7 linked regions of the Macaca fascicularis genome follow. The protein of the gene in region 7 binds, or shares a complex with, the protein of the main gene of each other region. Links are inferred from orthologs where the notes say so. Each region holds a gene or a part of one and is shown on either strand. Other genes may lie near its edges.

What was found.
Region 1: the proteins of GNAS (region 7) and FZD7 are in contact, whole or in part, in a cryo-EM structure (PDB 9EW2), measured with the Homo sapiens proteins. The link is inferred for Macaca fascicularis from reciprocal best matches to the Homo sapiens genes GNAS and FZD7. Residues at the interface, in NP_000507.1 of Homo sapiens: Asp381, Gln384, Arg385, His387, Leu388, Gln390, Tyr391, Glu392, Leu393, Leu394; in NP_003498.1 of Homo sapiens: Pro285, Ala364, Lys368, Trp369, Gly370, His371, Ile374, Ile450, Ile453, Met454, Asp457, Thr459, Lys463, Leu464, Leu467, Lys552.
Region 2: the proteins of GNAS (region 7) and GPR12 are in contact, whole or in part, in a cryo-EM structure (PDB 7Y3G), measured with the Homo sapiens proteins. The link is inferred for Macaca fascicularis from reciprocal best matches to the Homo sapiens genes GNAS and GPR12. Residues at the interface, in NP_000507.1 of Homo sapiens: Gln35, Arg38, Ala39, His41, Val217, Asp323, Asp343, Leu346, Arg347, Thr350, Tyr358, Cys359, Pro361, Phe376, Cys379, Arg380, Asp381, Ile383, Gln384, Arg385, His387, Leu388, Gln390, Tyr391, Glu392, Leu393, Leu394; in NP_005279.1 of Homo sapiens: Met79, Arg138, Ser141, Leu142, Tyr143, Ala145, Leu146, Tyr148, His149, Ser150, Glu151, Ile220, Ile223, Val224, Arg226, His227, Ala228, Gln230, Ile231, Gln234, His235, Phe237, Lys248, Gly249, Thr252, Leu253, Ile300, Arg304.
Region 3: the proteins of GNAS (region 7) and TACR1 are in contact, whole or in part, in a cryo-EM structure (PDB 7RMH), measured with the Homo sapiens proteins. The link is inferred for Macaca fascicularis from reciprocal best matches to the Homo sapiens genes GNAS and TACR1. Residues at the interface, in NP_000507.1 of Homo sapiens: Arg38, His41, Val217, Phe219, Tyr358, Phe376, Cys379, Arg380, Ile383, Gln384, Arg385, His387, Leu388, Gln390, Tyr391, Glu392, Leu393, Leu394; in NP_001049.1 of Homo sapiens: Met63, Thr67, Asn68, Asp129, Arg130, Ala133, Ile134, Ile135, Pro137, Leu138, Gln139, Pro140, Arg141, Leu223, Gln239, Ala242, Lys243, Val246, Met249, Leu308, Asn309, Phe312.
Region 4: the proteins of GNAS (region 7) and GPR65 are in contact, whole or in part, in a cryo-EM structure (PDB 9BHL), measured with the Homo sapiens proteins. The link is inferred for Macaca fascicularis from reciprocal best matches to the Homo sapiens genes GNAS and GPR65. Residues at the interface, in NP_000507.1 of Homo sapiens: Gln35, Arg38, His41, Val217, Tyr358, Tyr360, Phe376, Asp378, Arg380, Asp381, Ile383, Gln384, Arg385, His387, Leu388, Gln390, Tyr391, Glu392, Leu393, Leu394; in NP_003599.2 of Homo sapiens: Gln42, Glu48, Leu49, Leu53, Asp111, Arg112, Ala115, Val116, Pro119, Leu120, Lys121, Phe123, Arg126, Val206, Ala209, Val210, Asn213, Lys214, Ala215, Thr216, Glu220, Ile224, Leu227, Leu228, Tyr290, Cys291, Thr294, Glu295.
Region 5: the proteins of GNAS (region 7) and GPR161 are in contact, whole or in part, in a cryo-EM structure (PDB 8SMV), measured with the Homo sapiens proteins. The link is inferred for Macaca fascicularis from reciprocal best matches to the Homo sapiens genes GNAS and GPR161. Residues at the interface, in NP_000507.1 of Homo sapiens: His41, Lys216, Val217, Phe219, Phe376, Cys379, Arg380, Asp381, Ile383, Gln384, Arg385, His387, Leu388, Tyr391, Glu392, Leu393, Leu394; in NP_001254539.1 of Homo sapiens: Arg125, Ala128, Val129, Leu130, Pro132, Met133, Met137, Ile211, Val214, Ala215, Lys218, Ala219, Lys267, Ala268, Thr271, Ile272, Trp327.
Region 6: the proteins of GNAS (region 7) and GPR6 are in contact, whole or in part, in a cryo-EM structure (PDB 8TYW), measured with the Homo sapiens proteins. The link is inferred for Macaca fascicularis from reciprocal best matches to the Homo sapiens genes GNAS and GPR6. Residues at the interface, in NP_000507.1 of Homo sapiens: Gln35, Arg38, His41, Val217, Phe219, Asp323, Asp343, Leu346, Ser349, Thr350, Arg356, Tyr358, Cys359, Phe376, Arg380, Asp381, Ile383, Gln384, Arg385, His387, Leu388, Gln390, Tyr391, Glu392, Leu393, Leu394; in NP_005275.1 of Homo sapiens: Met107, Asp165, Arg166, Ser169, Leu170, Ala173, Leu174, Thr175, Tyr176, Tyr177, Leu182, Ile248, Val252, Arg254, His255, Ala256, Gln258, Ile259, Leu261, Gln262, Gln263, His264, Lys276, Gly277, Thr280, Leu281, Arg332, Asn333, Gln334, Glu335.

The regions. Positions count from the first base shown.
Region 1 is NC_088386.1:97,857,398-97,861,649, forward strand, and holds the start of FZD7 (frizzled-7), read left to right. Parts: upstream 1-1,452; 5' UTR 1,453-2,249; coding exon 2,250-3,974; 3' UTR 3,975-4,252. UniProt on the Homo sapiens protein: Receptor for Wnt proteins.
Region 2 is NC_088391.1:6,810,724-6,814,687, forward strand, and holds the start of GPR12 (G-protein coupled receptor 12), read right to left. Parts: upstream 2,801-3,964; 5' UTR 2,569-2,800; intron 1,827-2,568; exon of another isoform or gene 1,820-1,826; 5' UTR 1,812-1,819; coding exon 807-1,811; 3' UTR 1-806. UniProt on the Homo sapiens protein: Promotes neurite outgrowth and blocks myelin inhibition in neurons. Receptor with constitutive G(s) signaling activity that stimulates cyclic AMP production.
Region 3 is NC_088387.1:46,739,808-46,743,786, reverse strand, and holds the start of TACR1 (substance-P receptor), read right to left. Parts: upstream 2,801-3,979; 5' UTR 2,211-2,800; coding exon 1,822-2,210; intron 1-1,821. UniProt on the Homo sapiens protein: This is a receptor for the tachykinin neuropeptide substance P. It is probably associated with G proteins that activate a phosphatidylinositol-calcium second messenger system.
Region 4 is NC_088381.1:155,957,151-155,961,188, forward strand, and holds the start of GPR65 (psychosine receptor), read left to right. Parts: upstream 1-1,238; 5' UTR 1,239-1,326; intron 1,327-4,038. UniProt on the Homo sapiens protein: Proton-sensing G-protein coupled receptor activated by extracellular pH, which is required to monitor pH changes and generate adaptive reactions. Activated by an optimal pH of 7.4.
Region 5 is NC_088375.1:25,801,651-25,805,789, forward strand, and holds the start of GPR161 (G-protein coupled receptor 161), read right to left. Parts: upstream 2,801-4,139; 5' UTR 2,511-2,800; coding exon of another isoform or gene 2,504-2,510; exon of another isoform or gene 2,279-2,503; intron 1,955-2,278; exon of another isoform or gene 1,504-1,954; coding exon of another isoform or gene 1,364-1,503; intron 1-1,363. UniProt on the Homo sapiens protein: Key negative regulator of Shh signaling, which promotes the processing of GLI3 into GLI3R during neural tube development.
Region 6 is NC_088378.1:14,018,029-14,022,104, forward strand, and holds GPR6 (G-protein coupled receptor 6), read left to right. Parts: upstream 1-1,276; 5' UTR 1,277-1,433; intron 1,434-2,052; 5' UTR 2,053-2,070; coding exon 2,071-3,159; 3' UTR 3,160-3,679; downstream 3,680-4,076. UniProt on the Homo sapiens protein: Orphan receptor with constitutive G(s) signaling activity that activate cyclic AMP. Promotes neurite outgrowth and blocks myelin inhibition in neurons.
Region 7 is NC_088384.1:114,906,205-114,910,330, reverse strand, and holds the start of GNAS (guanine nucleotide-binding protein G(s) subunit alpha isoforms XLas), read right to left. Parts: upstream 2,801-4,126; 5' UTR 2,267-2,800; coding exon 136-2,266; intron 1-135. UniProt on the Homo sapiens protein: Guanine nucleotide-binding proteins (G proteins) function as transducers in numerous signaling pathways controlled by G protein-coupled receptors (GPCRs).

The sequences.
Region 1 (4,252 bases), on a different chromosome or scaffold from region 7:
AAGCATAGGATTGCTCTGTGTGTGTGTGTGTGTGTGTGTGTGTGTGTGTGTGTGTGTGTGTGTGTGTGTGAGAGAGAGAGAGAGAGAGAGAGAGAGAGAGAGAGAGAGAGAGACAGAGAGAGAGAAGAAGAAGGAGGAAGAGGAGGAGGAGGAGGAGGAGGAGGAGGAGGAGGAGAGGTCGATTGATTTTTTTCCTTTCCTTCTCAACATGTCACTTCCCTGCATGGGAATTCCTGATATTCCTGGCAGCCCGGAGAGAGGGGAGATGCCCCCCTGGTGACTTCTGACCCTCCAGGAGTAACCAGAGAGAGCGCGCGCGAGCGCCTAGCGCCTGGCGCAGGACGAAGATTTAACCGAGAACAAAAGAACGTTTGCCAATCAGAAAACGCTACCCGAGAACGAGGATAACCCCGCTTTGTGTTTTGAAAACTCTTTAATTAGCCTGGTTTCTAAGACGCATTTAAGCATTTCTATGCAGATTCTAAATGGAGGATCTAATGGTTGCTTCTGCAACGAAGATGGGATCCCGAAAGGCCACACGCCGCAGAACCAAAGCACACGGGGCCACTGAGACGCCCGGCGCGTCGTACAGAGTGTTCCTGGGCGCTCGGTCTCAGGTTACTTCTAGAACCAGTCTCCCCAACGCCGTCTTCGTTTCCTTAAAACCTCGCTAGAGCCACCCCAGCTCCCCAGACTCCAGGCCGTGCGCGCGGGCGGGGTGGCCTGAGCCCGGGTTCCCCGCGCTCCCCGCTTTGGGCCCTTCCTCCCACCGTCACTCGGCCCCCTCCGCCCGACTCGGGTTTCTCCTGAGGCGGCCCCTCCTCCTTTTTACAACTCGGGAGAGGGGAGCGGGGACTGTGGCCTCGCGTGGACTGTTTGGGTCCAGGGGGAAAGAAGCGATCCTCAAGGCGCACCCCCTTCTCGCCCCGTCCCAAACCACCCATTGAGGACCCGGCGACCCGAAAGCCCCGCCAGAGCCAGTCTTTGCAGTCCTAACGCGACTCCCGGTCACGTCTCTCCCCGCAGGGGCGCTGCGCGGTCCTCGCTCCCCGCAAAAGCTGCTGGCGAAGGAGCCCCTGCTCAGGAATGCGCATCTGAGTGCACCAGGAAAAGGAACAAATCTTTGAAGCAAATTCCCTTTCTGCGCGTTTTCCCCCCTGAGCGAATTCAGGGTAAAAGTTTTTCCGAACTTTTCCCTCCCAGTCCCCCGCCCCTCCCCTCAGGAATCCGCCCAGAGCGCCGCGGACACCGCCTCCGCCGCTCCCGCGCCCGCCCCTTCCGACTTCCGCCCAATCCAAAGGCGGCCACCGAAAAAACAAAGGCTACCATTGGGCCGCCGGGACCTGGGGCCGCCCCCGGAGTGGTTTGTGAATGGGGGGAGGGGAGGGGGCGGGCCGGTCCGGAACCCCGCGAGCCCGACGCTTCTTCTGGCGACCAGCGCGACTCCGAGGCGTTAGTCGGCGCTCCCTCCCGGCGGGCGGCGGCGGCGGGCGCCAGGACTTGCGGCTGGGGCTGCGCGGGGCTGGAGGGGCCAGGGCCAGGCCGCGGGCACGAGCGCCTCGCGGTTTCGGACGCAGTGTGACTGGATTTCCAAAAAGAACTCGCCGCGCTCCCGACTCTGGGGCCGAGATCGGACTCAGCGAGAGCCGGCCGTTTGGCTGAAACTTGGGGCCGAGGTTTTGGGGTTGAAGAAGGAGTGGGGTGTGGAGGAGGAGGCGAAGGAGGCGGCGGCGAGCGGAGCCTGGAGGCCAGGAGGCGGGGCAGCACCGCGGAGGCGGCGGCTGGGGCGAGCGGGCGGCGGCGCCAGGGGTTCTCCAGGAGGGGGTTCTCCTGGAGGGGGCCCGACCGGGAGCGGGGGCCGTGCGCGCTGCCGTGCGCCGGGGGTCCAGAGACTTGGGCAAACTTTGAAGGGTGCCCGGAGCCGCTTGTTGCTCCTCGCGGCGGAGGGAGCCTCACCGTTAAGTCCTCGCGGGGAGAGCAAGGCGGCCCTCCTCGGCGCCCCCAACCCAGGCTGACGAGTTTTGGGCCCCCGGCGGCCCTGCGAGTGCCGGGCGGCGGCGGCTGCGGCGCCCCCGCGGCGCGGGCACCCAGGCGGCAGCGCCCTTTGCTCCACGCCGCCCACGGCCCGGCCCCGGCGCCGTGAGGACTCTCATGCGCCGGGCGCGGCGGCGCCTCCCCGCATCCTTGCCTCTCCCAACCGCCTCGTCGCACTCCTCGGGCTGAGAGCACCGCTGCACTCGTGGTCGGCGATGCGGGACCCCGGCGCGGCCGCCCCTCGCTTGTCCCTGGGCCTCTGCGCCCTGATGCTGGTGCTGCTGGGCGCGCTGTCCGCGGGCGCCGGGGCGCAGCCGTACCACGGAGAGAAGGGCATCTCCGTGCCGGACCACGGCTTCTGCCAGCCCATCTCCATCCCGCTGTGCACGGACATCGCCTACAACCAGACCATCCTGCCCAACTTGCTGGGCCACACGAACCAAGAGGACGCGGGCCTCGAGGTGCACCAGTTCTACCCGCTGGTGAAGGTGCAGTGTTCTCCCGAACTCCGCTTCTTCCTATGCTCCATGTACGCGCCCGTGTGCACCGTGCTCGATCAGGCCATCCCGCCGTGTCGTTCTCTGTGCGAGCGCGCCCGCCAGGGCTGCGAGGCGCTCATGAACAAGTTCGGCTTCCAGTGGCCCGAGCGGCTGCGCTGCGAGAACTTCCCGGTGCACGGCGCGGGCGAGATCTGCGTGGGCCAGAATACGTCAGACGGCTCCGGAGGTCCAGGCGGCGGCCCCACTGCCTACCCTACTGCGCCCTACCTGCCGGACCTGCCCTTCACCGCGCTGCCTCCGGGGGCCTCAGATGGCAGGGGGCGTCCCGCCTTCCCCTTCTCATGCCCCCGTCAGCTCAAGGTGCCCCCCTACCTGGGCTACCGCTTCCTGGGTGAGCGCGATTGCGGCGCCCCGTGCGAACCGGGCCGTGCCAACGGCCTGATGTACTTTAAGGAGGAGGAGAGGCGCTTCGCCCGCCTCTGGGTGGGCGTGTGGTCGGTGCTGTGCTGCGCCTCGACGCTCTTTACCGTTCTCACCTACCTGGTGGACATGCGGCGCTTCAGCTACCCAGAGCGGCCCATCATCTTCTTGTCGGGCTGCTACTTCATGGTGGCCGTGGCGCACGTGGCCGGCTTCCTTCTGGAGGACCGCGCCGTGTGCGTGGAGCGCTTCTCGGACGATGGCTACCGCACGGTGGCGCAGGGCACCAAGAAGGAGGGCTGCACCATCCTCTTTATGGTGCTTTACTTCTTCGGCATGGCCAGCTCCATCTGGTGGGTCATTCTGTCTCTCACTTGGTTCCTGGCGGCCGGCATGAAGTGGGGCCACGAGGCCATCGAGGCCAACTCGCAGTACTTCCACTTGGCCGCGTGGGCCGTGCCCGCCGTCAAGACCATCACTATCCTGGCCATGGGCCAGGTAGACGGGGACCTGCTCAGCGGGGTGTGCTATGTTGGCCTGTCCAGTGTGGACGCGCTGCGGGGCTTCGTGTTGGCGCCTCTGTTCGTCTACCTCTTCATCGGCACGTCCTTCCTGCTGGCCGGCTTCGTGTCCCTCTTCCGTATCCGCACCATCATGAAACACGACGGCACCAAGACCGAGAAGCTGGAGAAGCTCATGGTGCGCATTGGCGTCTTCAGCGTGCTCTACACAGTGCCCGCCACCATCGTGCTGGCCTGCTACTTCTACGAGCAGGCCTTCCGCGAGCACTGGGAGCGCACCTGGCTCCTGCAGACGTGCAAGAGCTATGCCGTGCCCTGCCCGCCCGGCCACTTCCCGCCCATGAGCCCCGACTTCACCGTCTTCATGATCAAGTACTTGATGACCATGATCGTGGGCATCACCACTGGCTTCTGGATCTGGTCGGGCAAGACCCTGCAGTCGTGGCGCCGCTTCTACCACAGACTCAGCCACAGCAGCAAGGGGGAAACTGCAGTATGAGCCCCGGCCCCTCCCTACGTTTCCCACCCCTGCCCTCTTGCAAGAGGAGAGGCAGGGTAGGGAAAGAACTGCTGGGTGGGGGCCTGTTTCTGTAACCTCCCCCTCTACTGAGAAGTGACCTGGAAATGAGAAGTTCTTTGCAGATTTGGGGCGAGGGTTGATTTGGAAAAGGAGATCTGGGTGGAAAGCGGTTTGGATGAAAAGACTTCAGGCAAAGACTTGCAGTAAGATAATGATAACGACGATGTGAATCGTGAAAGGTACAGGCCAGCTTGGGC
Region 2 (3,964 bases), on a different chromosome or scaffold from region 7:
ATATGAAAATCAAAACCTATTTCAGGATTCATTTTAGAAAGTACATATTGAAAAACTATATTGAAAAATGACCCGTTGGAATCTAGATTGACATGGCAACATTTGAAACTAGTGGCCTAGCTAACACAGTCAACCATGCGGAAGGAGTTGCAACATTTATAGAAATACCGAAAGAATTCTTGTGAACAGTAATTGCCGAAAGGAAAGAAAGAATGAATAAGAATGGTTTCAGGGTTGCAATGTCGGTGACATTACTGAGTTCATGTTAGCAAAATCAGGACCCTTCCAAACACAATTATGTAAACTATTTGCATTGGATTGAAAGGGGTCATATTCTGTTACATACATGCAGCATTAAAAAATCTACCATCATGTAAAACAAAATAGTCTGGAAAAAGTAAGTCTTCCTCAGTTTTCCTCAATCACTCAAATTTATTTTAAAGTCCAGGTAAAAACTCTGAAACTCATTGACTTTTTACAACATCATGGGCGTATCATATCCCTTCCTTTCCTACCCCCAATCAGCCCTCCAAACAAAATATAAAAGGAAACCCCTGCCCCCAAGCAAAACAAAATAATATTGCGTGAAGATCTCAACAATACTTTTTTAATGGTGAAAACACCGGTAACATTATTTTCACTTCAATTACTTAACTCATCTAAACGATGTCATTGCTTCACGAATGCTAAGTGCTCCTGTGGCTTGAGAGGGAATCCGATGCAAGGAATTCAAGGCAAGCATCTCAAACCTTGGCCAGGCAGTGGAAGTGCTTGGTAAATGCAGAGTCCTCCTGGGTGCAAGGGTGCTACACATCACTGGGCGAGCGCGCTCTCTGGGCGAGACTGGACGGGATGCAGCCGCAGCAAATAAGACAGAGCGCTTTCTGGATCTCTTGGTTTCTGAAAGCATATATGACAGGGTTGATGATGGAATTGTAGGTGGCGGGCAGGAGGGTGGCGTAGGTATAGATGGAGGGGTAGGTGTAATCTGCTATCAAGGAATAGAGGGTGAAAGGCATCCAGCAAGCAGCAAAGGTCCCCAGGATGATAGCCAGGGTGGAGACCCCTCTCCGGGTGGTCACATAGTGCGACGTGGCCAGGAAGTGGTGCTGTAGGGCTATCTGATGGGCGTGCCTCATCACAATCTTACAGATCTGGATGTAGAGCTGAAGCATGAGCGCAAACATGAAGAGGAAGGACACCGAGAGGATGGCCGCGTTGTTCTTGGTGAGCGGTCTGACCACGCTGCAGGTGGTCTCGTCTCGGAGGCAGTTCCAGCCCATGACGGGCAGCAGCCCCAGGCAGATGGAGGTCCCCCAGAGCATGACGAGCATGACATAGGTAAACGTGACCGTCCTCTCCGAATGGTACGTCAGAGCGTAGTACAGTGAGAGGTAGCGGTCAACAGTGATAGCCAGCAAGCTGCAGACAGAGGCAGAGAAAGAGGCGACAATGAGGCCGATGGTGACCAGCTTGGTGGCTTCTGACTGAAGCAGGTAGGCAAAAACAAAATTGATGATGAGTCCAATGCCGGCCAGCAGGTCTGCAAGAGCCAGACTGCCTATCAGCAGGAACATGGGCGCTCGCAGGCTGGGGTTGTGGAAGATGATAAGGACCACAATGGCATTTTCACAGGAGATGAGGGTTCCCGAGGTACACAAGACAATGTCCCAGGGGTTGACTACGAGCTCAGGCTCTGGCTTTACGGCAGGAACCCGGGAGGAGACAGCAGCCGAGATGTTCTCCGCAGCAGCGGCATCTAAATAATCCCGAGGCAGCCCGCTTAAATTGACCTTCAGGTCTTCATTCATTTTAACCCCTGTCCTCTTCAACGAAAAGACAGGTTTTTTAATGTTTAGATACAGCAGGGTGACGATCCGAGATCATGCAAAAGACACACAGACAGACAGAAAGCCAGCCCCTGCTCAGACACCAGTACCAAATGCCACAAGCTTCGGGAATGAGGAACTGTTGGGAAATGAAACAAAAGCCAAAGTCTCTGTGGTTTAAACCCCACAACACAAATGCCGTTTGGCACTGGGGAAAACACAGGGTTGGACTTCAAAACACCAGCGTGAGCGAGGCAGACACACACGGACTCGCGGCGGTCTGTTTGCAAAAGCGCTGGGAATGCACATTGGAAAATCACATCTTGCATGCTGAAAACCAACAACTGTTTGACATCTGGGCTGCTGCCGAGAAAACCACGCGGCAGCGGCAGGTCTTGAGTCAGGGGCCGCCATCCTCGATGGAATATTTAAATCGCCTATTTCCATCGAACTCCCACCCTCCAAACGCATCCCCCACGCGCGTGCACACCCTCAAACGCACCCCCGACCGGAACAAAGAGGGGCTCCCAGACTCCCCCCCGTGCGCACGGAGCAGTCGGGAGGGCCACGAGAGGGAGGTGTGTGCAATGGAAGTACCGAGACAGACAGACAGACAGACAGATGCCCATGCACTGCCTCCGCTCCCCTGGCAGCGGGGACTGGAGTCGGACGCGAGAGGGACAGACAGGGTGCGGGGACAGGCGGCCCGCGGGGGCGGGGGGGTCATCGAGGGGGTCACCTTGGCGCGCCCAGGCCGAGGGGGCTCCTCCGGTGCTTCCGAAGCGCGCGGGCTACTCGTGTCGCATGTCGGCGCAGGCGCCCGCTGTGGCAAAGGGCGGAGGCCGGGCTCCGGAGCGGGCCGGGAGGGCGCAGGGCGCGCGCTCCGCTGCAGGTGAGCGACGCGGCTGCAGGTGAGCCGCAGGCTCGGCTCGCGCGCCCAGCTTTCCCCGCCGCGCCCGCCCGGCCCACACGCTCCCCGCGCGCGCTCCGCCCCCGCCCCGCGCGCGCCCGGCCGCCCGCCAGCCCGCGGGATCCCCGGGAGGCCGCGCGCGCCTCCACGGGTCGGGACTGCTCTAGGGTGCGGGCAGGCGAGGGCGGCCCCGGAGCGCGGGGCAAAAGAGCCGGGAGGCTGAGAACTGCATGGTCGCCCTGCCCGCCTGCCGCGCCGCGCGCCCCACCCCAGCCGGCGGACCCGGGCTTGCACCGGGCGGGGCAGGGGAGCGCTGCCTGGGAGCCCTGTGACCTATTTCGTTCCTGTGGTTTCCCCGGGGAGCTCCAGTCTCCACAGTCCTGGCTTTTCCACGCCTTCACCTAAACCGCTACATTCAGGGCCAAAAGGATTGCTTAGGATGGTATTCACGATCAGCAGCAGGGAGGCGGGGTGGACAGGTTGAGGAAGCAGATCTTTAAAACAACAAAATGCCCCGCACGCTTTTTTAGAATTGCCCATGGTCTTGGACCTGGTTCATTATCACTGTTTCCCAGGAACATTTGCTTAACTGAATAGATGCTGCTGCTCTGTGTATCATCATTATCATCACCAACTTGCACTTATTAAGTGCTCTTTGAGCTGTGTTTTCAAATGGAAATCATTTACTGAGTTCTTGTAGAAGCTTCCTGCAGACATTGGCCAAACCCCAATTCATTTAGATACTGAAGTGGCACTATTAATTTATTTTTTCATTTTGCCACATCAATGGATTCTGAGATGAAGAACCTGATAGCTGTCTGCTTTTCTGAGCCCAGGCCTCCTCTGGATATAAAAACCCAAGCACCTCGTAGATCTTAAGTTCCAAGATGATCCTCCAGTTTAAAGATGGGAGAAGGAAAAAGTGTTATAGTCTTGTCTTGCCCTGTCAGAGGTGAAGGTTTTCCCACTACTTTTCTTCCACTTCCCCAGGGGCTTTTGTACAAATGGAAATGGTCGGCAGGCAAAGGACCCTATAGGAGTATCATCAGCTGGCCAGCCTGCCTTCCCCTGCTGCTCACGTCTTCTCTATCCCAGCCCAACAGACTCGGAGCCTCAGTCACCCTTGACTTTCTTCCTGCTTCTCCTCCCCTTCTTCCATCAATCAGTTTCTGGCTCTGCAAGGTCGCTCCAGCTCTCCCTGCATGCCACTTCTCATCATCCTCAG
Region 3 (3,979 bases), on a different chromosome or scaffold from region 7:
TAAGCCAAAAGGAGAGAGCTGTCTGCTGGTGCTCCATCAGCTACTGAAAGCTCCAGCTGACACTGACTGACAGGTCTTCCTAGAGTTTGTGCAAAGCCCCAGTGCAGAAAAAACAAACAACCCCCTCCCCAAAAAAACTTCCCCCCTAATTTAGGGGGCATCAAGAGAGTGTGTGAAAGGCTGAAACAGCATCAGGTTTCACTACCCAGATATTCACTTATATATCATGCTATTGACTTTTTTAAGTTTAAGGAAGTTGTCATGAGATTAAAGGAGCATGTGAACGCAGAAAGATTTACAAGTGTACCTCACTTTCAGCAAACTGAATATCTGAAAATCAGTGTAGTACAAAAGATAAATTTGCAAAATAATTCATTTCACTCCCACTTTGAGTAATTGGTTTACCATCTACATTTAAAACATACACTGATTTTCCACAATCTGTTTTACATAAAACATAGTAAGCACATAGGAACTGCATATAGAGAGATGTACATGGAACTAGCAAATCAGTATTAGGACACCACTGCAAAGGATGGAAATGAAGATTGCCCTGATTTTAAAAGTGTTCATTGACTACAGGAGCTAAAAAAGGCTTCTAATAAATTGCAAGTTATAAACAATCTTTATGCAAAGAGGGTTAATAGTTTGGAATTTTTTTTGGAAGTTTTGTCTTAGCTCCTTCTTTGAGTTTCTCACATTCAGTTTTCTCAGGAAGGACATCAAAAGAATCCATTTTAAAATCACAGCGGTAGGTGTTTTAAACACACTTTCACATCCCAGGTAAACATTTAACACCTGTGCACACATAGACATACACATTGGAGACCTAAGATACTCACAAAGGAGACAATACCAATAGAGCTGTGCTACAATAACCAATTTTCCATCATGTTACCTGAAGAGCCATTTATTCCAGAATACCAGCCCCAGTGTTTGAAATGCCAACCTTTTCACTTTCAATCAGCTTCGGGAACCCTAACCTGTTGGTTGCAAGAACGGAAGAGCTCTCAAATGCCTTTGCCAAGCATGTTTCTCTGTGGATAGAGACAGGCTAAATACATAACTTTTACATTGTAGGAGAAATTTAGAACACCTCTTGGGTAAGTTCCCTGGATCCCTATCTGTGGAGTTTCTTAAGGATAGCATAGTTGTCTCTCATTCCTGAATGAGAATTCCTAGCATTATAGAGTAAACTGAATTAGAATTCTGAGTATCTTATAACACTGATGAAATGCAATTTCACATTAAAAAAAAAACAACAAAAAAACCAACCAACCAACCAACCAAACAACAACAACAAAAAACTGGAGAGTTGCAGTGGGAGCAGAAAGTTCTAGAATCCTCTAGGTGTACTTAAAACATGAAGGCAACAAGAGGCTGTCTGACAGAATAATAGGCCGGGAGGAATTTACAAAGCCCCATCCAGGGTCTAGTCCTTGGACCAAGCCCTAGGTATTGTTTGCAGCCTGCAAGGGTAAAGGGGAGAAGGAATATATGAAAAGGAGCAAAGCAGAAGTTGAAAGTGTCAGGAAGATGAGTGGAGAAGAGATGAAGAAAGGGGAGTTAAATGAAGAAAAGGGGGATGTGTGTTGAAAGGAAGAGAGATTAGTGATGGGTAAAAAAGAGGAGAAAAAATGTTAAAATAGATAAGATGAAGTTCCCATCAACAACTGACTCAGTTGATAACAGCAAAAAATCCCTCAGAGCATGGGTGGCCAACCTTGCCCTTGACCCATACCCCATCCAGCCCCAAACCTCATAGCAATGCCATGGTTCTCTATGAGCACTTTCTCGCCTTTTCACAAAGGCTAATCTCACCTATCAAAGGCCACAGCCGTCATGGAGTAGATACTGGCGAAGACAGCAGCGATGGGGAAGAAGTTGTGGAACTTGCAGTAGAACAGGCCGTAGTACCATTCGTTGTGGACAGCATAGGTGAAGTTCACCACTGTATTGAATGCAGCCATGGAGGCCTCCGCGAAGGCCAGGTTCACCAGAAAATAATTGGTCACTGTCCTCATTCTTTTGTGGGCTAAGATGATCCACATCACTACCACGTTGCCCACCACAGAGGTCACCACAATGACCGTATAGGCAGCTGCCCAAAGGACAATTTGCCAGGCTGGTTGCACGAACTGATTGGGTTCCGAGGTGTTAGTGGAGATGTTTGCGGAGAGGTCTGAGTCCACCGGGAGGACGTTATCCATTTCGAAGCTAGGCGGTAAAACCTTACTATCTGTACACAACCCCCCTCTGTAGCAGAGTCCTGTGGCTGGCACCTGGGGCTCAGGGTCCTGCTGAAGTCGGACAGGAGGGTGGGAGGCTCTTTCTGGGCAGCACTCTTTTTGAAAGCTGAACTGGCGCTTAGAATATAAACGCTTCTGGATGCGCTGCCTGCCTGCCCGCGGTGGCTCTGAATTCCTCCACTTTCAAGCTGCAGGAGGCATTTGAGTTCAGAAGTCTGGAGACAGCATCTCTTGCGTTATACTGAAAAAGGGAAAGAAATTCCACCGGTCATGGTTCTAAGAAGCAAGAGATCCCTGCCTTTATGATTTATGCACCTGCTGCTCCCTGCAACTCCTATTTCCCCTTCCTCCGCCGGGAAAGGCAAAGCCCTGTGCTACGTGAGGACTTAGGAGCGAAGTGGGGGCCCATTGCAGCGCGACCTGTCAAAGTTCTGAGCCTATGGTCAGGATTCTGGAGCTCCGTGTCCAGCTGGAGATTTTTCCTTCGCTTTTGCTGCCGCTGCCGCCGCCTGCAGTTTCGCGGGCACCTCTCGGTTCGGGTTGCTCAGCTCGGCAGTTAGCTGCGCACGAGGCTTTTATAACCCGCTGCAGAGACGTCACTGGGAAGGGGCAGTACCTGGGCTGCGTACTCGCCAGTCCCGGTGCGCAGCGCGGCAGCTGCGCCAGCTGTTGACAACTGTCTCATTCCACCGCCCCAGCTACCACGCCTTTTGCTGCTAGCTACTTGTCGTGGGAGTCTGCGAGCCGGGAGCCCCACGCACTCCGCGAGGGGGCAGTAGGTGGCTTGGAAGTAACTGAGACAGATGTGGTCCGCAGCTGGAATCGTCGTTTCACTAGGGGTGCTGGGAGGAAGGAAAGATTTGGGAAACAGCTGGAGTGCAGGACAATCAGCTTCCAGGGAGGGAAGCCCAGAGCCCTGCGACAGCTCTGCAGAGGCGGCCTGCCTGTGGCAATGGGAAACGGGCAAGTGTGGGGGCGATGTGCCAGCGCCGCGCGCCGGGCCGCGCTCCAGCTACCGAGAAACCCGACGCGACTCCCTGGTCCAGGTGTCCCGAAAACAACTTTCCTGAGACTGTGTTGAGGAAACACCCCCACAAAATATCTAGCTCCATTTCCTGGAGAGCTGATTCACCTGGGAAGTGACGGACTCTAAGCTTTGAGGACACTTTCCTCAGCCACCCTGTTGACTGGGCCCCTCGTTCCAGGAGAAGCTCCATTGGAGCCCTCCACCTGACCCCTGTGGATGAGCCTCTGCTCAAGCACTGGGGACAGGGCTGAGCTCCCTGCGAAGCTTGGTGAGTGCAGAAGCCACACTCATAGGCAGCTTGCCGCTCAGACGCGCGGCTCTGGGCTCTCCGCCAGCACCCACTGCGGCGCTGCGTTTGCCTCCCGGGGACCTGGCAGCCTCCGCCTCCGCGCCTGCCAAGCCTGCAGGCCAGAGCCGGGCCCGAGGTGGCATCGGTGGTCCTTCTGCCTGTTCCCCTTCCAGGTTTGCCTAGGGGCTGGAGGACGGGTCAGCCCGCCTTCTCTCCCCACCTCCATCCTGCCCTGCCCTCTCGTGACTTTGAGGCCTCGTATCCCAGTCCAAGACCATTTCAAACGGTAGAACTGGTGCCAGACACTTGGAGGAGGCAGGGGAAAGACTCGCCAGTCCGTATGAACCCTTTTGGAGAAGCCAAGATGGAATGAGCTCCGCAGCGTGTTCCCGCCAGACTGCTGCAGGCCTTTCG
Region 4 (4,038 bases), on a different chromosome or scaffold from region 7:
GTAAAGTATTAGTTTTATTATTCTTAAAGAAAGACCTACAAAGGAAGTATTGAAAATTCCTGATATACCCTGATCAACTTCAATATGAAAAGCCTTGCTTATATACAGCCTCATCTTTTCCATCTCGGGTAGGAGAAAAAAAGAAAAAAAAAGCCACCACCACCACCACCAACCCTTAATGTCATTTTACAAACACAGATTCAAAATGTCCTGATTACATCTTTAAAATTGGGTTAAATATTTTCATCCCAAATCAATTATGTTATTTTAAATAATATTTTCCCTTCATTTATAATAAAAGTTTGTGAGGGCAAGATTCAAAAGTGATATTTCTGACTTTTTTATATATCAATAGCAAGAAAGTTATAGGAGCTAATTTCACTTCATATTAAACCGCTTATAGATTTGGCATTAACTTTAACTTGCTGAAGTACAAGAGGTTTTGTAATAACAATAAAAATCTTTCTCAAATAAAATTTTCAAGTTTCATAAAATTATTTGTCTCAGCTAGTTAGTTCAACTGCTCCTAGCCATCTCTGTTTCCAAGAGGAAACTCAAAGGAGAAAATAGTTCTACAATCAAATACTATATATCCAATCCCATTAGTCTCTCAAAAAAAAAAAAAAAAAAAAGACTGTATGAAGTTGGCTACCTTAATCCCAGCCTTAAACAGCACAACAGCCATCATTAAACCCCTCAGCCTCAATTCTCCCTTTTCTGTTTTTCTCCCAGGAACTTCATCACCCTGAATCTGTCTACAATATCCTCCCCTATCTCACACATCCAAATGGCTCATTCTATTTTATCTGTTCCCCTCTTGAAGTACTTCTTCATTTTGCCATTGCATTACAATCACTATTAAACATGTCTTTCTCCTTTACTAGGTTAAAAAAAAAAAACTCCTTTGGGTTGATAACCAGTTCGTATACATCTCCCCGCACACTGCTGGCATGATGAGTGAATGAATGATTGAATTAATGAATGAATAAAGAAATAAAATATTTACTATATATTCCATTAAGTAAGGGGCATATTATATCTGTACACACTTGAAATTAAGATGCAATGAGACAAGTGAGTTATAAAAATTACAGTACGGTAAAAAAATAACTAGAAACATCTTTAAAAGTATTTAAGAGAGTTTTGGCTTCAAACTTGGATAATGCACGTCCTTCTCATTGAGATGCTACTTCCTCATTGGTTTGTGGTGAAATATGAGTGCAATTTCCTGTCCCCTCAGCAGTGTTGGTTTCTCTTCTTGACTTGATGCAGGCACAGATTTATCAAGCTCCTCAGTCAACAAACGCATCACCCGAAGAAACATGGGTAAGTGTAAGATTAAAAAATAAAATAAGATTTTAAAATAGATAACATGCTTTGGTATAATTGTCAGCGATGTTCGCAACATTCTACCTGGTTTAGGCTGTATAAATGTAGTGATGCAAATTATTATAAGAGAGAAAGAAATGAGGAAGACACAGGGTTTCCTCTACTTTGAGCAGTGGTAAAGGGCCAAACTTTAAATTTAGAACTAATTAGGTAAAACTATAGATATAGAAAAAGGGGGTTGTTCATACTTTATTTTCTTTCCAGGAAAGAGTGCTTTGGCAAACTTGATTCAGTATTTAGGAAGAAGCCGACCACCACCTCCTGGCTTTAGAGCTATCTGGCACCAATCCCTCATCTGTACAATGGTCCAGTAAATATTTTTTATATCCATTGGAAAAAAATGTGATGTTAGGAATGAATATTTCCAGTATTAATAAATGTCAAGTAATAATTATTAGTTAATAAGTGACTACCACAGTGCCTGAAATATATAGTAGAGTCTTAATAAGTAACTATTAAACTGATAAATGAAAGCAAGCATTTTCTATAACACTGTAGGAAAATATTTTACTTTTGATCATCGTCATCAATGATTTGTACTATTTTTAGAGCTGTTCAAGAATAGATACACTTTAATATACTGTAGATTGTCTTTTTTGACATCTGGTAAAAATTTAAAAATTAAAAACTCACCAAAATTTCTCAGTTCTGGCTCTAAAAACAATTTTCTCAAAATTTGATTAAAGGAGCCAAAATAAGATCTGAAAAGATATATGAATACTGTAATAGGAATTATATGCAGTATTCCATGAAAATCTCAGATCCACCCAAATTAAATGAACAACTATTATCTGCAGAGCTTGGTATTATATGTGAAATGTTACCATACAAATCACACTCTGAGCACCTCCAGCTTTTCTGCTATGCTCTGGCTAGATGGCTAAGGATTATTTCTTTTCAGGAAATGTAGGGGACAGCACAAAGATTGGAGCACACTACCAATGTCATTAAAGCAATATTACCAGCTAACCTACAGTGAATGCTTCCCATGTGCTATGAACTTTGCTTCATATGTCATTTCATTTAACCCTCACAACAATCTTAGAAACTGGGTACTAACTTACACATGTGAAAACGGGAACTTAGAGAGGTGAAGAAACACAAATGGGCCCAGAGTGCTTTTGAGAGGCATTTGAATTGTCTCCAGAGCCCACGCTCATAACCACAAGCCTGCACTGCCTCTGCGTCACTACAGAGAAGAGGGCCTCTGTCTGCTTCATCAACCCATCCTGTCTTGTGGTTAAGTCAAGGCAGGAAATGCTTTTACAGCTAGAGAAATGTATTCCATTGAAAACCTTATAAACCTTTCTAAAAATCATTTTTTCCATTTAATCTATCATCCCATTTTTAAAGAAAATGATGCCTATTTATTGAGTAACACAGACAGAGGAGGAAGAGGTACACACTGCCCATTACCCGACTTTCTCGGTCCTGGTCTTAAGGAAGGATGTTTTCATGGTCCAGGTGTTCTCCCCAAGACACACGAGCCTAGTGTTGGACGTGTTGTGTGTGCATCAGAGTCCCATCCGCGGGGGCTGATTCAATCCTTCCTGCATCTCAGACATTACTCTAGTGTCCTTTTCCTACTTCAATTATATCCTTTAGAAGTTTCTTTAGTGGGGATTTTGGATGTAAATGTTCTCAGTGGTAGTTTATCTGAAAATGTCCTAATTCTTCCTCTGGTCCTTGAAATTTAGTTCTGTTGAGTATATAATTATAGGATGACATATATTTTCTTAGCAATTTGGAACTTTTAATCTTCTGCTGTCTATTATCGCGGTTGAGAAGTCCTTTGTCCATCTCAATTCCATCCTTCATAGGTAGTCCATCTTTCCTCTCTGGCTCTTTTTTCCTTAGTCTTTGGCGAACTGCAATTTTATTGCAATGTGTCTAAGTATAGGTTTCCATTTTTGTGTTTTTAATCCTATTTGAGATTTTCTAAGCTTCATTAATCTGTGGATTCCATGAGGATTGAAGATATATGAGGATTCTTCATCCATCCTCAGGATTCCTTCATCAGTTCTAGAAAGCTCATCAGCTTTGTGAATATTGCCTTTTCAACATTCTCTCTTTTCAATCTTTATGGAATTCCAATTATGTATATGCTACCCTTTTCACCTTTTCTCCATATCTCTTTTATGTTTTCCCCTGTCCTTAACATGCTGATAATTTTGTGTTACTTCTTTATCTCTATCCTGCACAATACTGATTTTCTCTTCAGCTGGATCTAATCAGTTGGTTAGTCCCTGTGTTGAGTTTTAAATTTAAATTATCGTATTTTTTATTTTTAGAAAGTCTTTTTCAGTCTTTCTAAAAATATGGCTTGTCATTTTTTAATAATCTCTTCCTCCTTACTCATGTTTTTAAATCCCTTATTTTGTTTCTTTAAACCTAGTCTCTAGTTTCTCTGATCCCTAGTGAGTTCCTTCATACACCTTCAGGCCATGCAGAGCCCCAACGCTCACTCACCTCCCTGATAGCAGCTCCCACCTCCTTTCTTCCATCACGAATTTTTCCCCCTTTGGAAGCTTCCCTATTTATTTAACATGCTTCCCTATTTATTAAACATACTTATTTTGTGTTATATTAATTTTATCTCTAAAATTTTGTGGATTTGATTTACTTTGCTGTTTCTGCTCAATCTCACAC
Region 5 (4,139 bases), on a different chromosome or scaffold from region 7:
ACAGAACTGTACCTCCTCTTGCTGACATTTAGGTCAGCTCCAGTTCAGCCCATTCTGTCTTCCTCGGAACCCAAACAGAGAGCTCACAGCCCTCTGACCACACAGTGCTCCTTCACCTCTCAGAGGACTCCCAGTGCACCAGACTGCAACACAAAGAGAACGGTTTGGATATCGTTGCGGCCTTGGATTTAGTTCCAAAATGTCAAGCAGGCCTCTTAATGAGGGGTCTCTATTCTTGATGTTATGGTGGTGGAGCTACAGGGCAGGGAGAAGCCCTGAGTTAAAGGACCCACCTGTGTGCCATCAGGAAACCACGTGAAAAGCATTACCAAGGCAAAAGATCTGAGTTCAATCTGGGCTGCTTACTTAGCTGGGCAAGAATGCTTCATCTCTCCTGAGCCTCAGTTTCCTCACCTATCAAATGGGCTAGCAGAGCTTCACAAGGCTGTTGTGTGAAGGAAGAAGTGTATATGAAAGTGCTTGTAAGCACCTGACAAGTATAAAATAAGACAGGTGTGGAGGAGGACCGGGAGAGGTGCTCTGGAAGAAGTAACAGAAATGGGTGCCATGGATTCCAGTTACAGTTGAAGAGCCTCTTTCTCTGTGACCTGAGGTCCCTCCCACCTCCTCCTTCTGCCCTGAGGGCCTGAAAAATGCCTCTCTTCACTTGCTCCCAGTAGCTGCAGTAAAATAGATTACAAGGGAAAACCGCCTATTCCCCCGAAGCAGTAGCTCTCCAGAACTCATCTGGAGGTCCAGGTCACTAGGGGAGAAGAGGCCGGGCTGAATCCACGCCTGGCTCCACGGAGGAGCCACAACGATGGCCATCCTCCCCCAGCCCCTAGCACGCTGAGACAGGCTCACCTGAGGTTATCAGTGTCTCCACTGGACAATCAAGGAACTGAGGTTCTTTCCCTCCAAAACCACACACCTCCTCACGGCTTCACAGGGAGGAGGATCAAATGACCTGCTCTTGAAAGCACTTTGCAAAAGGGATGAAAGGTACAATAACGAGCAAAAATAGCCTCCAAGATGTGATATAAAGCGATGCCAATGCGCAGCTGTGTGGTTACTGGTAAGCAGACCTCCGGGAAACACAGGAGACACCCCACTTATCCCACAGACGTTCTCATCCCATATGCCTTTGTCCAAAGGTTGCACGGGGGTTAAGCTTGGCCCAGAGGGCGCCGAGGGCTGGTCAAGTCCTCCCCTTTCCAAGAACCAGCCGAATCTCCCTCCCGCAGATCTGAGAGGCAGAGCCGCCCACCCCGCGGCGCCGGGCCACTTCTGGGCGCGCCATCCGCCGTCCGCCCAGGCTCGGGGAGACAGCGCCCTGAGTCCCGGCTGGGAGAAGGTTGCTCACCTGGTCCTCACGGATTCCAGCCGAGGGGCGTGACCGCCTCTCCCCACACCCTCTGCCCTGAGCGGGTCGTGAAGTCTCTTGGCCCCAGGGGGCGCGGCCCGCATCGGCCGAGTCCAGGGCACGCACCTACGCCCTCCCATCCAGCGGACTGGGTAGGGGGCCTCGGGCGGCGCCGGAGAAACGGGGGCGGGCTGCACCCAGTAGAATGGGGTGGGCCTCTCAGAAGCCCCAGGCCGCAGGCGAGGGGCGCGCCCCCAACATCTTCCCACAAAGAGCTCCAGCTCTCCAAAGCAAGGCGCAGTGCGGCCAGAGGACAGCCCCAACCCCTGAGAGGGGCGCGAGGAGAAGGGGAGCGCCGTGGGGGCGGGGACCCTTCCCGGCCCGCAACCTGAGCCCTCAACCCCGCACAATGAGTTTAGCCCGGCTCCATCCCGACCTCCCTCTCCGCCCGGGCCCGGGCCCGCGACCGCGTCCCACGCCGAGTGCTCACCGAGGAGCCGCTGCCGCGGCAGCTCAGGCCCCGGCCCAGCCGCCTCCCCGCCTCGGCCACCGCCGCCGCCGCTTCCTTCCTCCCCGCCGCGCTCCGGGACTGGAGGTTTCGGGTTTCAGCCCGCCGAGCCCCGCTTCGCTCCTCCCGCGGGCCAGCCACCAGCACGCGGACCCGGGCGAACGCAGGCCAAGTAACTTTGCGGCGCCCGCGCCCCGCCTTCCCCACGCCCGGCCGGGCCCCTCCGGCCCCCAAAGCCCCGAGTCGCCTCCCCGCGCCCCGCACCGCCCCGCCCCGCGCGGCTCCCGGCGCCCCTCCCCACCCGCGCCCCTTCCTTCGCGTCCGTCAGCTCGCCCGCCCTCCCGGCTGCTGCTTTCCCATTTCTTCCCACGAACAGCCTCGGCTGCTGCTCTTTGTCTCGCCCTTACCCTCTCGGCTCGCTGCACTTTTCTCCTGAAAACCTTTGTGGTCCCTAACTTAGGCCTTCCCTGTTCCCGTTCCTGCGTCCCAGTTCCAGCCGCTGGGACGTCCCCTTTTCCATGTCTCTCTGCATCACACAGACACTTTCAGATTCTTCCCGCAGGCTCCGCACAGTCCCATTCTCCTCCTCCAGTCCCGCCGTGGAAGATCCTGGTATCGCCTTTGCTGCTCACCTTTCATTCATCCAGCCGACGGGCACGAGCATCCATCTGCGTCCTGCCAGGCTCTGTCCCGGGCTCTGTGAATACCACAGTGAATCCGCCCCGGGGAGTGGGGAGTGGACGTAAACAGGTCTTCACACTGCTGCCCTGCACTCCCTCGGAGCCAAAAGGCCAGGGAGCAGTCATCACAAAACAAAGAGCGGGCGCTGTCAGCTCGGGGGACGGAACAGTTCCTTCTCAGAATGTTTGTTTTGTCTTCCTCACTCCCCACTTTCCCTGCCTGTCTCCAGCCTCCTACGTTTTCTATGCAGCAGTCTTAATAAGGGGATGGAAAGTTGAAGCACAGAGTAGAACTGCTAAAAAAGGAAAGAAGGAAGGACAAACAGGGCAACAAAATAATCAGGTAAGAAGTTATAAAGCCCAGTTCACTAAACTTCAGCAAAAGAAAAAAAAAGACAAAAAAACCCTGGTGCTGTGCTTACAGCAGGATTCACATTCCTCTGAAATCCATCTGCTTTGATAAATACATTAATTATTCCCTTGTCTACAGATTGACACTGTGGGAGATGCTTCCTTATTATTAATATTATTGGGCCACTGAGGCACCATTTAGAACAGTAATTTACTGTCTGGCACCTACCAAACACCCACATTGCTCCGGGGACAAATGGGATAATGGGGAGAAAAAAGTAAATGGATGCCTTAATATTCCTATGGGATAAATGCTTTATTTGGTCAAAAACTGGAAACTGACACTCCACTTAGAGTCTAGGTCACCCGGCAAGCCAGACCCTTGAAGGAGCTTAAAGCTTTCTGTTCTTAAGAGTATTTTAGACACTTATTTTGAACTCCCTGTTATTTATTTAATTTACACTGGCTCAGCTGTCGGCTAAGCTCTATGAGCCTGAGGGAGTGAGTTAACCTTCCTGAGTCTCAGCTTATTCATACACAAAATGGGGATACTCATACCTTCCTATCTGTAGAGTTGAAAAGGTCAAATGAGGTCATGTAACTAAATCACCAGTGTCATAAATTCGGAGAACTAAACCCTTTTGAAAATTGGTATTCACGAAAGGTCTGAAAATATATGCCATGGACTGGCATGGCAAGAATGAGAGTAAAAAATAAACAGTTACGGCTGTTTTGGCTCCATACCCATTCATGATGCAAAAGATGTCCTTCATACTGAACAACCTTTTCCCATACTTACTCTATTTCATTTTGAACTGTTCAACAGAAGACATTTTTTTTTCTCCTGCTGCTCATTATCAAATACATTATTTATCACAAAGATTTTTCTTTTTTCTGAGCTCATAAGCTCAGAACTTACTGTGCATTCAGGGATAGAAATTGCTGCCAACAAATGCATTTTCAATTGCTGTCTTAAGATTTTTTTTTCCCTTCTGGAGTTAATATTGAGCTATGAGTGAATTCAGTCAGATGCAGAGAAAACAAACAAATTGTTATTAAAGTAATTATTTCACTGTTTATCATTGTATAGGTGATAATTGTGAAAAACGTGACTGCTTTTGTGCAAGAATGTATTTTTTTTTTCAGAAAAAGAGAAAGATACACACTAATTCTCCTTTCCCAAATTAGTTTAATAAACCATTCTGTTTTAGAGACATCCACAAAGACTTATAAACTA
Region 6 (4,076 bases), on a different chromosome or scaffold from region 7:
TTAAAACAAAAGGATGATTTATCTGGGCTGAAAATAAAACTCCTGCCTACTGAAGTCTGGTGCAGCTGAGTTATCACTATTTTCGTCCTGTAATTTGTTTTATAGGGAACTAATTAACAGGGCAAAGTCTGAAGCCAAGAAAGTAAATCCCATTTTGCTGTTTTCCTTTTCTCTAGCAAGATGCAGACCTGGTCTTTAATTAAAGTGCAAGTTCCAAGGGTACTATCAGCTACCGAAATGGGGAAACACTGGGCAGAAAAGATCATGGTGAAACCTGCTGTGTAGAGCTCAAGAAAGATCATGGCAAAGAGAGGAACTGCACAGGCAACCTCCAAAAGAAGAGATTGTTTTCCTCAGATGTCCCCTTCTTATCCATCTTTTATCTGCTCCCCATAACTCAGAATTTCTTCCCTGGCTCTACTCAACTGAGCATGTACCACGAATATCCTTTTTAAAAACTGGATTTCAGGCCCGGTGCGGTGGCTCACACCTGTAATAACAGCACTTTGGGAGGCCGAGGCAGGTGGATCACATGAGGTCAGGAAAGCCCAGCCTGACCAACATGGTGAAACCCCATCTCTACAAAAATTAGCTGGGCGTGGTGGCGCACACCTGTAATTCCAGCTACTCCGGAGGCTGAGGCAGGAGAATCGCTTGAACCCAGGATGCAGAAGTTGCAGTGGGCCGAGATCGGGCCACTACATTCCAGCCTGGGCGAGAGTGAGACTCTGTCTCAATACATACATACATACATAAAATAAAATAAAAAGTGAATTTCTTTTCCCAGATAATTCCTGTTTTGGGAGCGGCGTTTTTTTTTTTAAAGGTAGCTACTTTCCCATCAAACACCCCTGTCCCAACCTCCCCCTTCTCTGGGGTTTCTTTTTGGATCTGATCCCTCGGTGATCTTTGAGGTTGGGCTTTGCTGCCCGGCAGGTGCCACTCATCCTTCACCCCTCCTCTCCCAGCTCACCCTCTTCGCCGCCTGGTCTCAGGGTCTTCTTCACTCCTTTCTCCCTCTCTTTGTCTCTCTCCCATCCCATTCCTGGAAGTTCTGGACTGGAGGTGACTGCTCTGGCTTTTCCTCCCTCCTAGGACCCTCAGATAGTATAGGGGGCAAGGGGAGTGCGGCGGGGAGGGCGCAGGATGGGTTGGCGAGGAGAGTGAGTGCTGGGTTCGCACCGGGAGCCGGGAGCCTGACGTCACCACGCCCTGCCTGTCAATCTCCAGCGCGCGCCGCTCGCAGCCGCCTTTTCTGCCACCAACTGTGTCTCTCACTCGCGGCGCCGGCACAGCGACAGGCGCCCCGCGCTTGCCTCCTTCCCGGCCGGGCCGCCTCCTGCAGGCAGCTGCTCAGTCCGCGCGGGGAGCTCAGCCCGGCGCCCCGCCTCAGCGCCCATGACCAGCGACTTCCAGAAGTCCTGACGCCCCAGGTGAGCGGCCGAGTTCCCCAGGGAACTTTGAGGATGTGGGGAGAAGGATAGCCAGGGAACGGGTCTTTCCAGAAGAGGAGAAATGGAGCCAAGCTTGACTCCGACCCTCCACTCCCCCCATACACACACCCTAGTCTCTCCTCCCAGACCCCCTTCTCAGGGGTCTCTGGGCTCTAGGGCGCTCCAAGCTTCGCAAGGGCAGAAACTTCGCTTTCAGCACCACGGACAGCGTATCCGCTGCCCAGCTCCCTGGAGATGTCCTGGTCGCGCCGCCACAACCCGGGCGGGACTCTCCCAGGATGACACTCCTAGCTGGTGCACTCGTATGCGTGTGCAAATACAGACATCCTTGGAGAATTGATCCGTGTGCATGTGAGTGCATGTTGTCCTGGTGTATATCTGTGCAAAAACTCAGAAGTCCGCGTGGGTATTTCACTCACTTACTCAACAGGTATTTATTTTGGGATCTCACTTAACCCATGATTCCCCGATTTGCTCTGGGGTCCCAGGGTGGGGTGGACAACTCAAGTGGTGCAATGCGAGAGGAGGCTCTATGCGTGGGAAAGTTTCCTGGCAGCCTGAAGGGTACACCTGACGCCTGCACTCCCTCCCTATGCAGGGTGCAAATCCGGCCGCAATGAACGCGAGCGCCGCCTCGCTCAACGACTCCCAGGTGGTGGTAGTGGCGGCCGAAGGAGCGGCGGCGGCGGCCACAGCAACAGGGGGGCCGGACACCGGCGAATGGGGACCCCCTGCTGCTGCGGCTCTGGGAGCCGGCGGCGGAGCTAATGGGTCTCTGGAGCTGTCCTGGCAGCTGTCGGCTGGGCCACCGGGACTCCTGCTGCCAGCGGTGAATCCGTGGGACGTGCTCCTATGCGTGTCGGGGACAGTGATCGCTGGAGAAAATGCGCTGGTGGTGGCGCTCATCGCGTCCACTCCGGCGCTGCGCACGCCCATGTTCGTGCTGGTGGGCAGTCTGGCCACCGCTGACCTGCTGGCGGGCTGTGGCCTCATCTTGCACTTTGTGTTCCAGTACGTGGTGCCCTCGGAGACTGTGAGTCTGCTCACGGTGGGCTTCCTCGTGGCTTCCTTCGCCGCTTCTGTCAGCAGCCTGCTGGCCATTACGGTGGACCGCTACCTGTCCCTGTATAACGCGCTCACCTATTACTCGCGCCGGACCCTGTTGGGCGTGCACCTCCTGCTTGCCGCCACCTGGACCGTGTCCCTAGGCCTGGGGCTGCTGCCTGTGCTGGGCTGGAACTGCCTGGCAGAGCGTGCCGCCTGCAGCGTGGTGCGCCCGCTGGCGCGCAGCCACGTGGTGCTGCTCTCCGTCGCCTTCTTCATGGTCTTCGGCATCATGCTGCACCTGTACGTGCGCATCTGCCAGGTGGTCTGGCGCCACGCGCACCAGATTGCGCTGCAGCAGCACTGCCTGGCGCCACCCCACCTCGCCGCCACCAGAAAAGGTGTGGGTACGCTGGCTGTTGTGCTGGGCACTTTCGGCGCCAGCTGGCTGCCCTTCGCCATCTATTGCGTGGTGGGCAGCCACGAGGACCCGGCAGTCTACACTTACGCCACCCTGCTGCCCGCCACCTACAACTCCATGATCAATCCCATCATCTATGCCTTCCGCAACCAGGAGATTCAGCGCGCCCTGTGGCTCCTGTTTTGTGGCTGTTTCCAGTCCAAAGTGCCCTTTCGTTCCAGGTCCCCCAGCGAGGTCTGAAGGGCTCGCTCCATGTCCTCTCACCAACACCACACCCCCAACAAGCCAGCCTTTGGTAAGCTTGGTACCTGCTGATGAACTCTGAGATCCCAATGGTGTGAGTCTGACTGTGGAAAGAAAAAGGGACTAAAGAGAAATTCAACAAACTCAAAAGGACAAAGAGGCTTGTTGGCACTTTACATATACAGTGTATACAGGTGTACATATATATACAAATATTTGTATCTTCTGGAGGTGTTCAGGATGTGGAGCTTCCTATTCTGTGAAAAACCAAGAAAAAGATACGATTGTATACTCAAATTGTACATCACATTTGTCAAACGAATACATTCCAATACTGCTTAATTATAGCACTTTATTTTTAGCTGCTGAACTGCCAGAACAGTGTTGCCATTTTCAAGGGCAGGGAAAAGGGAGTAAAAGGTGTATTTTTGTTGTATGTGATAGAATATTTTGCTGCACATGCATCAAAAAATTACAACATATTTTGTACACGAATAAACCCATTACAAGAATGTAATTTGGGGTATGTGACTGACTATAGAATTACTATTAGAAAGCTGAATTATAAGTGTATAAGTGTCTTTATTTCCTTTCTTTCTTGTTTGCTTGCTTTCTTGCTTTCTCTTGCTTGCTTTCTTTCTCTTTTGTTTGTTCCAGATAGAGTCTCACTCTGTTGCCCAGGCCTGAATGCAGTGGCCCAGCTCAGTGCAACCTTGAACTCCTGGGCCCAAGAAATCCTGCCTTAGCCTTCCTAGTAGCTGGGACTACAGGCATGCCACAGCATGCAGCTTACTTTATTTATTGTCTTAAGTTTTTAAAATTTCAATAGATTTGAGGGTACACGTGGTTTTTGGTTACATAGATGAGTTCTTTCATAGTGAATTCTGAGATTTTTGTGCACCTGTCACCTGAGC
Region 7 (4,126 bases):
CTAGCAAGCTCTTCCCGCCTTTGGCTGGATCCCCTCCTCCCACTGTCGAGCCCCGAGCCCCAGCAGGCAGCCCTGCCACCCCCTACCCAGTTCCCCGGCGGCCCTGCTGCCCGCAGGCAGAGTCCGCCGCATTACCTAGAAGCAGCAGGCGGTGCGTACACATGTAGCCCATCTTTTCGTCCTGGAGTTGTTTGTCGATGAGCTTGCTGCGTTTCTTCTCTGCGCGCTTCTGGGCCCGCTTCTCCAGGGCTTCTTTGCGCATCTGTCTGCGCTTCTCCACCAGGGGTACCTTCTTGACCTTGGAGGAGTGCGAGGCTTTGGGCTGGGGACTCTCAGATCGACCGAAGCAGCCCCCGAAGGCTTGCATGAGGAAGTTGCGGAGTAAGTTGCGCTGGGGCTTTCGGCGGCGGCGATTTCGCCGATGCTGAAACCAGCGGATGCATCCGAAGGTCCCATCGTCGGACTCGTCTCCGCTGGAGTCATCGTCGCTGCTGGCCGCCCCTTCATCGTAGTACACGCGGCGGCCGCAGCTGCGCTCGGACTTGCCCCGCCAGGCAGACGCGCGAGCAGGCCGCGGAGTAGGCGGATCGGCAGCCTGGATCTCGGGGCTGGGGGGTCTAAGGTGATGGAGCTTGCGTCTGGCCCCGGAGGCAGGGGCTGCCGAGGCCGCCCGGGCGGCTTGGGCTGCCCGGGTGGCAGAAGCGGCTGGGGCAGTGGGAGCCCCGGCGTCAGGCGCAGCTGGGGCGACATGGGCTGCCCGGGTCTCAGCAGCCGCAGGGGCCGCGGGAACCTCAGGGGCTGCCCCGGCATCTGGATCGGCTGGGGCGTCAGGGGCTGCCCCGGCATCTGGAACCGCTGGGGCGTCAGGGGCCGCCCCGGAGTCGGGATCGGCCGGGGCGTCAGGGGCCGCCCCGGAGTCGGGATCGGCCGGGGCGTCAGGGGCCGCCCCGGAGTCGGGATCGGCCGGGGCGTCAGGGGCCGCCCCGGAGTCGGGATCGGCCGGGGCGGCAGGGGCTGCCCCGGAGTCGGGATCTTCTGGGGCTGCCCCGGAGTCGGGATCCGCTGGGGCTGCACGGGCTGCCCCGGTGGCGGTATCCGTTGAAGCTGCCCCGGCGGCAGGGGATCCGTACCCCGGAGAGGGGACTTTTCCTCCCTCCGCGGCATCAGCGGCTGTGCTTCCTTCCATCTCTGCTGCTTCCTCCTCAACTGGGGGTCTCTCTGCTCGCTCTCTCTTATCTGGGGCTCCGGAGACCTCGATGGGCGGGCCGTCAAGCGCGATTGGGGGGCTGTCCATGTTGACGGGAGCGTCGTCGACCCCAGCGGGGGCGCTGCCAATCTCGAGCGGGGGTCCGGAGATCTCCAACGGGGGGCCGCTGCCCGTGAAGTTAGGAGGAGGTCTGACAGCCTCTCGGGATGGGCTGCCGATGGCGCCTGGGACCCAGAGGGGAGGCGCGTTCGCGGCGGGAGTGAGGCGGACCGCACTCGAGGCCGCGACTGCCGCGAACTGGCCACCGCGGTCAACTTGTGCGATAACTCGGGAAAGCCCCGGGGGTGGGCTGTCGTCCCCAGATCCTTCTCCATCAAGCTCAAATGGCATAGTCTCCTCAGGGGGAGGGCTGTAGCCTCCTCTGGAGCCAGTCTTTGGAGGCCTGAGGGCTTGGGGCTCCTCGGGAGGAGCTCCGGGGACCCCTGCAGCACCTGGGCCTCCTGGAGCAAGGTCTGGGACCTGTAAGAGAGGTTGACTGCAGCCTGTCTTGGCAGGCTGGTCAAACTCAAAGGGCATAGCTTCTTCTGGTGGAGGGCTGTATCCTCCCAGGCCTGGTCTGGCACCACTGAAGGCTCCAGGTTCCACGAATGCTGGGCCGAAGGCCTCAAGGCCTGCATGGGCCCCACTGGGGGATCCAGGCTGCTCCAGTGTAGGCCAGAAGCCTCCCAAGCTGGGCTGTTCGACCTCGAAGGGCATTGCTTCCTCAGGAGGTGGGCTGTAGCTTCCATGGGCTCCAGCTTCCCTGAATGCCGGGTTGAGGACCTGAAAGTTGGGCCTGGAGACCTCTGGGGGTCCACAGGCCTCGCTGTCATTCTTGATGGGGATGGGCTCGTTGTGAGGCGGTTCGGTCTCCATCTCTTCGGCTGGGCTAGGCCCAGCACCGGGGGCAGCTGCCCCTGGGGCCTCCAAAGATGGTTGATCGGGCTGTTCCCCGATTTCAGGGGGGATATCGCGTTGTCCTGACATATTATTGCCGTGGAGGCAGTTGCGCACGCCCATAACAGGGTGGCGGCCTCTCAAAATAAGTTTGGGGCTCCGTAAGACGGAGCACCCAACCGAACTAGGGTGAAAAAATTATTATTGTTATTTTTAAATCAAAGTACCAGCTGGAAAGTTCACCAGCCTCACTTTCCAACCCTTGTGAGGTTGGGGGGCTTCAAGGCCTGGAACCCTAGACTGAGGCTGAAGCAACTCAATTGTTGCTGGTGGAGTCTTGGCTCCTTTCTGGCCACTTTTTATCCCCTCAGTATGCCCCCCAGCCCCTCTTCCTTGGTCTGTCCTTATGCCCTCCTCTCTCTTTCTTTCTCCTCCAGGCCAGTCCCGCCTGCTTGGATCTGACGAGCGTGCCGATTCGGTCCGAAAATCGCCAGTAGCGCTCTCTCGCTGCCACCAGAGGACGCCGGTTCCAGTGCCGAGCTGGCTCCAGCTCCAGAATCCTGCTCCTCGCGCCGCGGCCCGGGACTTTGGGTAAGGGGGCTGACGAGCGCAGGCCTCGCAGGGACGTTTTGGCTCCTTCCACTCCTCTCCCTGACTGATTTGGAATCTTTCTCCTCGCTTCTCCCCTGGCCAGAGAAAGCTCTCCTGCGTTGCGGGACACGTGACGCAAGACGTGGGCCTCGGGACGCTGGAGTACAGGAGCTGAAATCCTCCCTCCCCAACCCAACCGACTCCTCGGGGGAGGGGGGACTGAAGAAGGGTTTCATCACCCCAGGATACCCCTGAAACACTGAGTCATAGCCCCCAGCCTCCAGGCAGCTCCGGATCTCAAGCCCCTAGTCCAGAGCGCAAGGCTTTTGGTGCCTGAGAAGGGGCACAGGCATGCGTGGGGATGCGACAGGTGGTCGTGAGCCCACCAGAGAAGCAGAGAGAGACGAGGGAGAGGGGATGCCGAGTATGCGAGCACACAATTTGTTTTTTAAATGCCTTGGGTGTACTTTTTACTGCTTTTGTTTGTTGCTTGCTGAGGTTGGCTCCGGTAAAGCACTTTAACAGCCCCCACCCTCATCACACTCTAGGGGTCTCCGCAGTGGCCCACGCAGCGCAAGCAGGGTGCTCCCTTGTTTATGTGGATGGTGACGCAGGGGAATAAGAAGGTCTCGGGTGCGTACCACCAAGAGCAAAGCCCCCTAGGCAGTAGCTGCGGTGGCACCGATGGAGGGGTGGGGGGCGTGCTGCGCAGAGGGGGACCCCACAAAGCGGCCGCAGAGTTTCGCAGGTCCTGCGGTTCTAGGGAAGGGTTAAAGGGGATTTTGGTTGGCGTTTATGGCCGGTTTAGGGTGATTTCGAGAGTGGACAACGCTGTGGGCACTGAACCCACAGATAAACACCATGCCGCGCGGCAACCGCAGCTGAGGTGCGCTGCTCGCTGCTTCGGGTGCCGGCCGCAGCACCGGTCAGTCTGCTCCTTTAGCCCCACTACAGCCTGTCTCCAGCACCCTTCCAGCCCCTCTCCTCTCGCTATGGGTATCTTAGGGTAGTCGCTTTAGTTTTCCACTGCTAGAGCCTACTGAGGCGGCACTGAGCCCGCCAACCGGCCACAAACCCGGCGGTTGCCCGCGCAGCTGCGCTCCCGCTACCATGCTGCGGTGGGCTCAGAGCTAGCCAAAGGTAAATACCCAAACCACCTGGTGACCTTGGTGTGTGCACATGCTATGCTCTGGTCTGGGGTCTGCAGAGGGATTTGAGCCCGGGAGAAAAGCTGCTGTTAGGGGGTCACGTAAAACCCGGCAGGTGCGCATCAGGTCGGTCTCACCAGTAAGACAGATTGGTGAACCACGTCTAGGCACAGAGCAGCTGGGCAGGAGGCAGGGGGTCACCTGACCTGCAGAGTCCTGCGGGAGGAGAGGCTGGATGAGCGTT